2 linked regions of the Kluyveromyces lactis genome follow. The protein of the gene in region 1 interacts with the protein of each later gene in a pairwise test. Links are inferred from orthologs where the notes say so. Each region holds a gene or a part of one and is shown on either strand. Other genes may lie near its edges.

Region 1 (5,261 bases):
TTTTGGCGATATGAGTGGTGTTTCAAGTGCTTCTTCTACCCCTGTAAGTGTGAAATTATGTAATGACAAGAAAATGCCACAGAAGAAGAAACTGGCGTGTGTGGAATGTCGGCAACAAAAATCAAAGTGTGATGCACATGAAAGGGCTCCTGAGCCTTGTTCAAGGTGCTTAAAGAAAGGTGTACCCTGTGTACTTCAAAAGGATTTCAGGAGAACTTGTAAGAGAGCACGTAACGAGGTAATAGCAAAAAAGTTTCAGGAATTAACCCAGTCATTATCGAATCTCGGTTCTGAAGAGCTGTTGAAGAAATTAGATGCAGAAACATTGAGACTTCCGGAAGATTTAGGATTGATAAAGGTGGAGACGAGCACTGGTGCTGAGGCACCATGGGATCAAAATTCAATTGGTACTGGCTCGAGAAGTAACTCAACTGGCGGTCAGGAGATTGCATTACGTACCGTTTTATCTACAAATGATTTTGTTTCAATAGCGGTATCATCGAACACAACTGGTTCAGGGACGAAACTAGATGGGCCTATAACACTTACAAAACAGCAATTAGAATGCCAGCCAAAAACTTTGGGAGATGTTACTCTATCGAGTAGTGATATTGCTAACTTTTTCAGCGAATTCACAACCAAGTATCATCCTTTTTTACCTGTGGTGGATGTGACAAAAGGTCCTGAAAGAATATACAGCCTATCTCCTTGTCTCTTTTGGGTTATAATACTAGTAGGGCTTAGACGTAAATTTGAAGCTATAGAGATGATGAATAAACTTTCGAATATGGTTAAATCTATTTTGGCAGAAATTACCATTTCTCCGATTATTAGGTACACACCAATGGAATCTGACGAGCCTGTCTTGAACGTGTCTTCTGTTTACTCGGTGCAGGCATTTTTAATATACACGTATTGGCCACCATTAACGTCATCGCTAAGCGCCGACACATCTTGGAATACTATCGGTTCTGCAATGTTCCAAGCACTGCGCGTGGGACTCAACAGTGCTCAGTTTTCCACGGAATATGCATCAGCAAACTCGCAACTTATTCATGAACAGATACGAACGTGGATTTGTTGTAATATTGTATCACAAACAATATCTGCCTCCTTTGGGTTCCCCGCATATGTCTCTTTTGACCATACCGTTATAAATACCTGCAAGATTTCAACAGTAGAGAGTAGTACGACAGATTTCATACCTTTTTCCATCAAACAAATGTTACAAATTGCTCATTTCGAGAATCAAATCGTGGATACTATGAACTCAAATCCTAGTAATATGAGCGGCCTTGTTGCCAATGAGGAAAAATTACCATTATTACACGTTTTGAACAGACAACTAAGCGAACTAGAGTTACAGCTTGATAATGTGAAATTAGATGATATCAGAAGATTCTTACTTCTCGTAACGAAGGTGCACTTGTTGACGCACTATTTTAGCAATGTTACCGATAATGTTGATCCAACTTCCGTCCAAAAAATATCTGTGAAAGACATGGAAACAAGCTTTGCAACTAAAAGAGGACTAGTAATAGCGTACAATGCAGCCGTAAAACTCTTGAAACATGCGAAATGTATGTGGAAACGGGATCCACTAGCTGTGAAATATCTTCCAGGTGTTTATGTTCTTAATATATGGCAGGCAGCATCAATAATATCAAAGCTAGTCCATTCCTCATTGGGCTCAATTATCGATGTCGATACTGGTCATGAAGTTTATCAAGATGCTGTATCATTAATTTCGAATGCTTCTGTCCTCAAGTACGATATGGCTTATAGATCAGCTGGTATTATGAGAAGTATATGGAGCATGTTCAGCAACATGTTCGAAGAGTGGAAAGCGAAGAAAGACCAAAGTTCCTCTTCAACACAGTCAGAAAAGGATTTTAACTTGAGTATTACCATAAGATCTAGAATGTCTGTGAGTGTTTTCTTTGACTGCTTGTTCATATTAAGACAGAAGTGCGGTATGGCAAAACTAAAGAGAGAAAGAGAAAAGACAGTCTCCTCTGATGATGAAAATAGTGGCGATAACCATAACGGAGATGCAGAGTCCAAAGAACTACTGCCCAACGATGGGTATTCCGAAGAACATGCCAGAAGGATTATATCTACCATTCCACTTGACCCAGAGCCCATCAATGCACAGCAGTCCAGTGGAAGCAATATTACATCTCCGAACGGTTCACATAGTAGTGACGTTTTGTCATTGAAATCAATCCTAAACAAAACGTCCCCAAAGGACGAGATTTTGCAGAAACAGAAAAATGGTACAATGCCATCTTCATCTTCCCCTAGCAACAATATCATAGTATCACCTACAAACACACATGCTGGTGCTTCCAATGTTGAAACTAGCGGTTATCCCAGATCTCTAAATCCTTTGAACGCCGTCACAGACAATAAACTCATAAACCATTCTACCACCGCCAAGAAAACGAACTCCCCACAATTTAGGGTTTCAAGTCCGTCAAATCATAGTAAACCGACTCGAAAGATCAATCCTGCTGCGCAGTCCTTAAATGAGTTGTTGGAGCCACCAATACCGCAATCCTTCCAGTCCGTTACAAAATCGATAATATCAGAAGGAACTGAAAACAGAAAGGAAGATACGCCCTCAATTTCTCCAGGTCTTACGGAAAGATGGGACAACTGGGAATCAGATCTTGTTTGGAAAGATGTCGACATTCTAATGAACGAATTCGCATTCAATCCGACGTTGTAATATTAAATTATTGGTTATATATTTCTATAAATACTTATTATAAGACGAATTAAATCATCGGTTAACAGATTGATACTGCGAAATGACACCAACTGCTAACCTGTCACTGGCGAGAAACCTAAGCAAAACCAGATGTCGTTATGCACATTTTCCAAGTACTTAAAACATAATCACGTGATCGAAAATACCACCAGATTTCTCTTTCTGTACGAAATCGTTACTTTGTATCGAAAATTTTTTTGAATTGTAAGAATGCCAAATTCGAAATCAGTTTCAACAGAATTGAGTAGATATATGTGGATATGATTAATCTCGATGAGTAATGAAGGTGTAAAGGTATAAAGATCTTGTTAGCAACCGAGTTTAATTCCAGAGAATAGAACGGCCAGGTGCAGTATTTGGGAAAGTATCAAAAAGGATATCTAGTGATAGTTTTTTCTGATTGTTTATAATACCTAAAGTTCAGGATGTCTGATTTGCAAAACCAAGAGCCAAGTATTGTCATCAATGGGGATCTTAATGATGAGCCAATAGATACATTTGAGGTTGAAGAAGAGGAGCAAGTTTTTGATGAAGTGAAGCCTAAGAAGACTGTTACTTTCAGTGGGATTGATGATGTGGAAGCGGATGAAGAACGTAGAAAGAGAGAATTTGAAGAAGGTGGTGGTCTTCCAGAGCAACCAACGAACCCAGATTTTTCCAAGTTGAACCCTCTATCACCAGAAATTATCAATAGACAAGCCACTATCAATATTGGTACTATCGGTCATGTCGCTCACGGTAAATCTACCGTTGTGAGAGCTATTTCAGGTGTTCAAACCGTTCGTTTCAAGGATGAATTAGAACGTAATATTACCATTAAATTAGGTTACGCCAATGCCAAAATCTATAAAGCAGAAGATCCAGAATGCCCAGAACCAGACTGTTATAAGTCTTTCAGATCTGACAAAGAAGTTGCACCAAAGGTTGATCTTCCAGGTTACAGTGGACGTTATAAACTAGTCCGTCATGTTTCCTTTGTCGATTGTCCTGGTCACGATATTTTAATGTCTACCATGTTGTCTGGTGCTGCCGTTATGGATGCAGCACTACTTCTAATCGCAGGTAACGAATCCTGTCCTCAACCACAAACCTCTGAACATTTGGCTGCTATCGAAATTATGAAGTTGAAGCACGTTATCATTTTACAGAACAAAGTCGATCTAATGAGAGAAGACTCTGCTCTGGAACATCAAAAATCTATTTTGAAATTTATTAGAGGTACCATCGCTGATGGTGCTCCAATCGTTCCAATCTCAGCCCAATTGAAATATAACATTGATGCTGTGAATGAATTCATCGTGAAAAGTATTCCTGTTCCTCAAAGAGACTTCTTAGCGTCTCCGAGATTGATTGTCATTCGTTCCTTTGATGTTAACAAGCCAGGTGCCGAAATCGAAGATTTGAAGGGTGGTGTTGCCGGTGGTTCCATTTTGACTGGTGTTTTCAAATTAGGCGATGAGATCGAAATTAGACCAGGTATCGTCACTAAAGATGATCATGGTAAGATTCAATGTAAGCCAATTTTCTCCAATATCGTTTCCCTATTTGCTGAACACAACGACCTAAAATTCGCCGTTCCAGGTGGTTTGATTGGTGTTGGTACTAAGGTCGATCCAACGTTATGTAGAGCAGATCGTCTAGTGGGTCAAGTCGTTGGTGCTAAGGGCCATTTGCCATCTATCTACACCGATATCGAAATTAACTACTTCCTATTGCGTCGTCTATTAGGTGTAAAGACCGATGGTCAAAAACAAGCAAAGGTTAGAAAGTTAGAGCCAAATGAAGTTTTAATGGTGAACATCGGTTCCACCGCTACTGGTGCCCGTGTGGTTGCCGTCAAAGCCGATATGGCAAGATTACAATTAACTTCCCCTGCATGTACAGAAGTTAATGAAAAGATTGCATTATCTAGACGTATCGAAAAGCATTGGCGTTTAATTGGTTGGGCTACTATCAAGAAGGGTACCACTCTTGAACCAATCGCTTAATCTGTAAATTAACTAAATGATTTTATATATGTCTATATGTATATATTGTCACATTAATGTTCCATTTTCTTGGTAGAAAAGGCCACATTCTTTTGCAAGATGAATATCTTTATTCTTCATGATGAAATGCCTAGGTTCTACTTGTTAGCAGTTATTAATGAAATTGCGTCCCTATACGATTCTGTTGCCAGGAATTTGGGCAAAGAGTCGTTCTTCATCATGATAAATACGGTATTTCTGATTTTTTCCAGTAACTGATACAAATCCTTCAACATTGATATAGCATGAATAATGACGTATGACTCAGTACCCTTATTAAGAGGTGTCGGCGCCAATGGCATTGACGTGTTACTATGGGATTGTACTTTATGCTCCACGCATTTCTTCCGGGCAGCAGGATCGAGGCTTAAGGGTCTATTAACAGATGCATCCGAAATGGCTCTTGAACAATTTTCCTTGCCTGAAGTGTCGAACGCAGTTTTAGTTGGAGACTGAGGGTG
Region 2 (5,116 bases), on another chromosome or scaffold:
TTCCTTCATTGATGTCGTTAGATACAGCGTCAAAAAAGAATTAGCCAACACTAAGGTAGACGTCGATTTAGAAGAGGAGTCCTTTACTTGGTAATACTACCAAAGAAAGATGAGATAGCGGCCAGCAAGGCCGCATGAAATAGCATGAAGCAGAACATTGAGTAATTTATATCCCAGCGTTTATTTATTCCACAAACCTATTTTTTAATAGTTAATCATATCAGTACTGTCAATATTATTTACATTTAATTATAGCCTTAACTATATAATCAATTCTCATTATAAAGATACTCGCATATAGCTTGAAAGCCATTAGAGAACATGTGTTAGAGTGTGCTTTTATTAGATTCAAGGGTACGGCATAACTACAGACGGTATCAGTTATCGTGCAAATTTTGAAGGTAATTTATCCACGACATATCGAACTTTTTTCGAACATAAATAGGTAAAATTGTAGATAATTATTTATAGTGGGTGTGCCATGCAGTTTGGTGAATGGCAGGTATCCTACGGGTTACTCATTGGTATTTCTATGGACAAAGATGAGCGAATTATCATTGGCCAGAGTTAATGCATGGATGCTGATGAATAAAGAACGTATTATTATTCCCTTAATTGCTATCACTATCGCTCTCCGCTTCTTGCATCTTAAGGATCTCTTTCCATTTATATGTTAGTTCTCTCATTGACTCGGGATCTAAACTAGCTTGAACTACATCTTTGGGTACTTGGTTCTCTGAATGCTCTTTGGTGACGAATCTACCCATATTGTGTTCTGTGATGAGTCTAATTTCAGGACTGGCATCGGAATCTAAATCTTTCGAAGCCAACTCGTTCCAGGAGAAAAGTAACGGGTCTGTAGTTCTTGACCAAGGATTTATATCTATCAGCCAACATGATTCAAAGGGTCTGGGTAAATATACATCCAACACAAAAGACTTTAGGTCGAAATTGGGTAGCACGATATCATAAACGAATTCCTCGATAAGGTTCGTGAATGTATCCTGTAAAGGTTCCAAATAATTATAATAATTCAAATCCCTTTGTGATATTCCCCAAATTTCAGAATCTCTGACGAACACCCTAAATTCCAGCGCAGGGTTTATGTCAAACCATTTCCTTAATACTAGTTCAAACTGGATAGACTGATTGTCCGAATTGTCCCTATCCTCACATTCATCAAACGCATGATCCAAATCGTATGCGATATAGTTAGACGCATTTAGTAAAAGATAAATGTCATTCACATTCATACATTTGGAAGTATTATTGGGCAAAATCCAAGTAGCATCTCTTGGAGCAGACCAGTTGAGTTTCGGCGTGACTGCGCCATACTCACCAATCACTTCAGCAATCTCTCTATGAAGATCGGGGAAATTAACCATAGGAACCATCTCTTCTTCTTTCCCATTTTTATCATCGTCTGAGTCAGAATCATTATCACCATCGTCGTCTGCCTCCCAATCACTGTACTCGTTATCATCGTCACGCTTTAAGCAATGATCATTATACGTAGAGTCATTCTCTTCCAAAGAAAGCCTTATCCCGTCCTGAGCCAAATATCGTAGAAATTCCTCGGGCAGCGGTTGAATAATCTTAGCCTTTGGTGTATATTTTTTGAACTTATCGTACCATGATGAGAAACTACATGCCCTAATGTCATCTGACCTCACCTTAATATCAACTAAAGGTGTATAGCTTTCAGCTGCCATGTCAAAGAAGAGGAAACAAACCGTTTAATGCTGCTATATATCAACTACCTCTTCCTAAACATACAAAGTCGGATAAAGCAGCTGCACTTTTGCTATTCGAGCTTGCGATGAGATGTCAATGAGATGATCTTGACCTTTCACATCAAACTAACTAAGAGAAAAGGTTGATCAGATTCTGAATATCACGTGACTTGGGATTTTGTCTTGTCAATGTGTCATATTGCACGAAATATCAACCTCTAGTGGCAAAAAAAATTGTTCTATGGCCCTTTCTTTACTATGGGAGAAGAAGTGAATCTCAGTAGTATTGACGAAAGATCGAAAAGTACTGAAAATGACATTTTATTTTGATTTTAGTTACTAGGAATGGTTTTGATTATGGTGAAATAAATGATGATGGGTTTGATTTTGAAGCAAAGAAACACACATAGGCCTCATTGTTTAGTTTGTATTATAACTGCAAGTGACTTTACTCAATTCTTTAGCGGAAAGTTCTAATTTGTTTTGGCAAAGAACTACGGATAAGTTTATCGTTTGGTATTTTTCCCCAATCGTAAAGAGAGTTTGAAAAGATGGTTTCACAAGCTAAACAACCTTCCAATGCGACCTTTAAGAATCGTGAGAAGCCACAAGAAGTTCGTAAGGCCAATATTATAGCTGCCCGTGCTGTGGCCGATGCAATTCGTACTTCTTTGGGTCCTAAGGGTATGGATAAGATGATCAAGACATCTAGAGGTGATATTATTATTTCCAACGATGGGCATACCATTTTGAAACAAATGGCTATCTTGCATCCAGTGGCTAAGATGTTGGTTGAAGTTTCTGGTGCACAGGATGTTGAGGCTGGTGATGGTACTACCTCGGTTGTTATCATGACAGGTGCACTATTAGGTGCAGCTGAAAAGTTGTTGAATAAAGGGATCCATCCAACTATTATTGCGGAATCTTTCCAAAGAGCTGCTGAAAGATCGGTTGAGATTTTGTTGAACATGTCAACGAAGATCTCGTTGGACGATAAAGAGGCTTTAGTTCGTGCCGCATCTACCTCGCTAAGTTCTAAAATTGTGTCACAACATTCTTCATTTTTGGCCCCATTGGCCGTAGACTGTGTGTTGAGCATTGCCTCTCATGATTCGACTAACGTTGATTTGAACGATATTCGTTTGATCAAGAAGGTTGGTGGTACCATTGATGATACTGAGATGGTAAATGGTGTTGTCTTGACACAAAATGCGGTAAAAACTGCCGGTGGACCAACTAGAATTGAAAAGGCAAGGATCGGATTAATCCAATTCCAAATTTCTCCTCCAAAGCCAGATACTGAAAATAACATTGTGGTTAACGATTATAGACAAATGGATAAGATTTTGAAAGAGGAAAGAGCTTACTTGTTGAACATATGTAAAAAGATCAAGAAGGCCAAATGTAACGTGTTGTTAATCCAGAAGTCTATCCTAAGAGATGCTGTAAATGACCTTGCATTGCATTTCCTCTCAAAATTGGGAATAATGGTGGTCAGAGATATTGAAAGAGATGAAGTTGAATTCTTATCAAAGAGTTTGGGTTGTAAACCAATCTCTGACGTTGAACTATTCACCGAAGACAGATTAGGCTCTGCAGACGTAGTAGAAGAAGTGGAAAGTGATGGTTCCAATATTGTTACCATCACTGGTGTAAAGACAACCAACAAGAACCCAACAGTGTCAGTCGTCATTCGCGGTGCTAACAACATGGTCTTGGATGAAACTGAACGTTCTCTACATGATGCTTTATGTGTCATCCGTTGTTTGGTTAAAGAAAGAGCCTTGATTGCAGGTGGTGGTGCCCCAGAAATTGAAGTTTCATACCGTCTAATGAAGGAAGCGCGTACCATGGAAGGTGTGGAAGCATTTGTTTGGCAAGAGTATGCAGAAGCACTAGAAGTCATTCCAACGACATTAGCCGAGAATGCAGGTTTGAATAGTTTGAATGTTGTCACGGAGTTACGTTTGAGACACGAAAATGGTGAATCCAATTCTGGTATTTCGGTAAGACGTTCTGGTACCTCAAATACTTACGAAGACCATATTCTACAACCTGTTCTAGTATCCACAAGTGCAATCAGGTTGGCTTCTGAATGTGTTAAGTCTATTCTACGTATTGATGATATCACTTTCAGTCGTTAATAGGCCAATGTAGTTTCTTCTCCTAAATAGATTTGTACATTAAAAACGAAACTGATAATATAGTTTAGAATAATATTCTACTCCTTTAGAAATATTAATACTAACCAGCTATATACAAGATTACGATTGGCGTTACGAGCACGAGATGGATTTGCCTTTGAAGCAAAGTTGTTCTTTCTAAATGCAGACGCAAAGGGCGAAGATGTATCGACCAAAATTATGCAATTTATGAGTATGGATGGCGAGATGGTAAAAATAACTCACTTCAATTTACTCAGATAACGGACAGCATTTTTATTGAACACGTAGGATGCTCCACTCCATACTGTCGTTACACTGACCAAATAGCCCAGTAAAGTAAACGCAAATTGACTATTTTCCTTCAACAAACCTTCTTTGCCTTCCTCCTCATCTTTAGTGTTATTTATGATCAAGAGGACAACACCAAATCCTACATAGATCATTTGTACGAAAGTGTTCCACTTCGAAATTTGCGTTGGTTTAACCTCTGCGCTTGGATAATGGAAAATATCCCAATACGAGTTCCATGTAACAGAGCCGTAACGATGCTTCATTGATGCATACCTGAAATAAATGGCACTCAACCCCAACAATAGATCTCTTCCGAAAATAAGTCCAGCAACCGCTAACGGAATGATTTGGGGGCCAGAAGGTACGCACAAAGCGGCTGTCGTTGTCATCATTAATATCTTATCTGCCATTGGATCAAGAACTGTTCCAGCTACAGATTTCATCTTGTACGATCTCGCAAGGTACCCATCTAAAAAGTCAGTGACACAAGAGTACACGAATAAAGACATTGCGGGGGCAAGGTTCTGAGTTAAGATGTAGTAACCAATCAAGGGCGTTGTCGCTATTCTACTCATCGTTAACACGTTTGGTAAAGTCCATATTCCATTAGTTATCGCGCTTTTTGTCCGTTGCTGTTGCTGCTGTTTCTTCTCTGGTTCCTTTACCAAATCACGATTGTCAGTTGAGTAGAAGCGCTGGGAGTGACGGAAAGGCCGTATTCCAATAATTTGTTTCAGAGCCTTGCTTCGGCTAAACTGCAAGTTTGAGCTTATTCCGTTGGTTTTCTGTACGATTCTTCTCAATCCATTCACTTGCTTCGAAATGGTTAAAACGTTCAAAATCATTGTACCCAAAATGACGGACTTTCTTAACGTTGAACAACCAGGGAAATAGGTGATATAATGCTGCTGGTTATACCTTCCAGGT

Evidence for each region. The genes of interacting proteins can lie anywhere in the genome.
Region 2: the proteins of GCD11 (region 1) and CDC123 interact in binary tests that used the Saccharomyces cerevisiae proteins (3 or more experiments, as listed by UniProt). The link is inferred for Kluyveromyces lactis from reciprocal best matches to the Saccharomyces cerevisiae genes GCD11 and CDC123.

Annotation. Positions count from the first base shown.
Region 1 is NC_006040.1:897,796-903,056, reverse strand, and holds GCD11 (translation initiation factor eIF2 subunit gamma), read left to right. Parts: upstream 1-3,198; coding exon 3,199-4,761; downstream 4,762-5,261. Other genes in the region: leucine-responsive transcriptional regulator LEU3, read left to right, coding at 1-2,731; GTPase-activating protein SST2, read right to left, coding at 4,899-5,261. UniProt on the Saccharomyces cerevisiae protein: As a subunit of eukaryotic initiation factor 2 eIF2, involved in the early steps of protein synthesis.
Region 2 is NC_006042.1:488,252-493,367, forward strand, and holds CDC123 (cell proliferation protein CDC123), read right to left. Parts: upstream 1,713-5,116; coding exon 612-1,712; downstream 1-611. Other genes in the region: FRE1 (ferric/cupric-chelate reductase), read left to right, coding at 1-94; chaperonin-containing T-complex subunit CCT4, read left to right, coding at 2,285-3,877; CRD1 (cardiolipin synthase), read right to left, coding at 4,138-5,034. UniProt on the Saccharomyces cerevisiae protein: ATP-dependent protein-folding chaperone for the eIF2 complex. Binds to the gamma subunit of the eIF2 complex which allows the subunit to assemble with the alpha and beta subunits.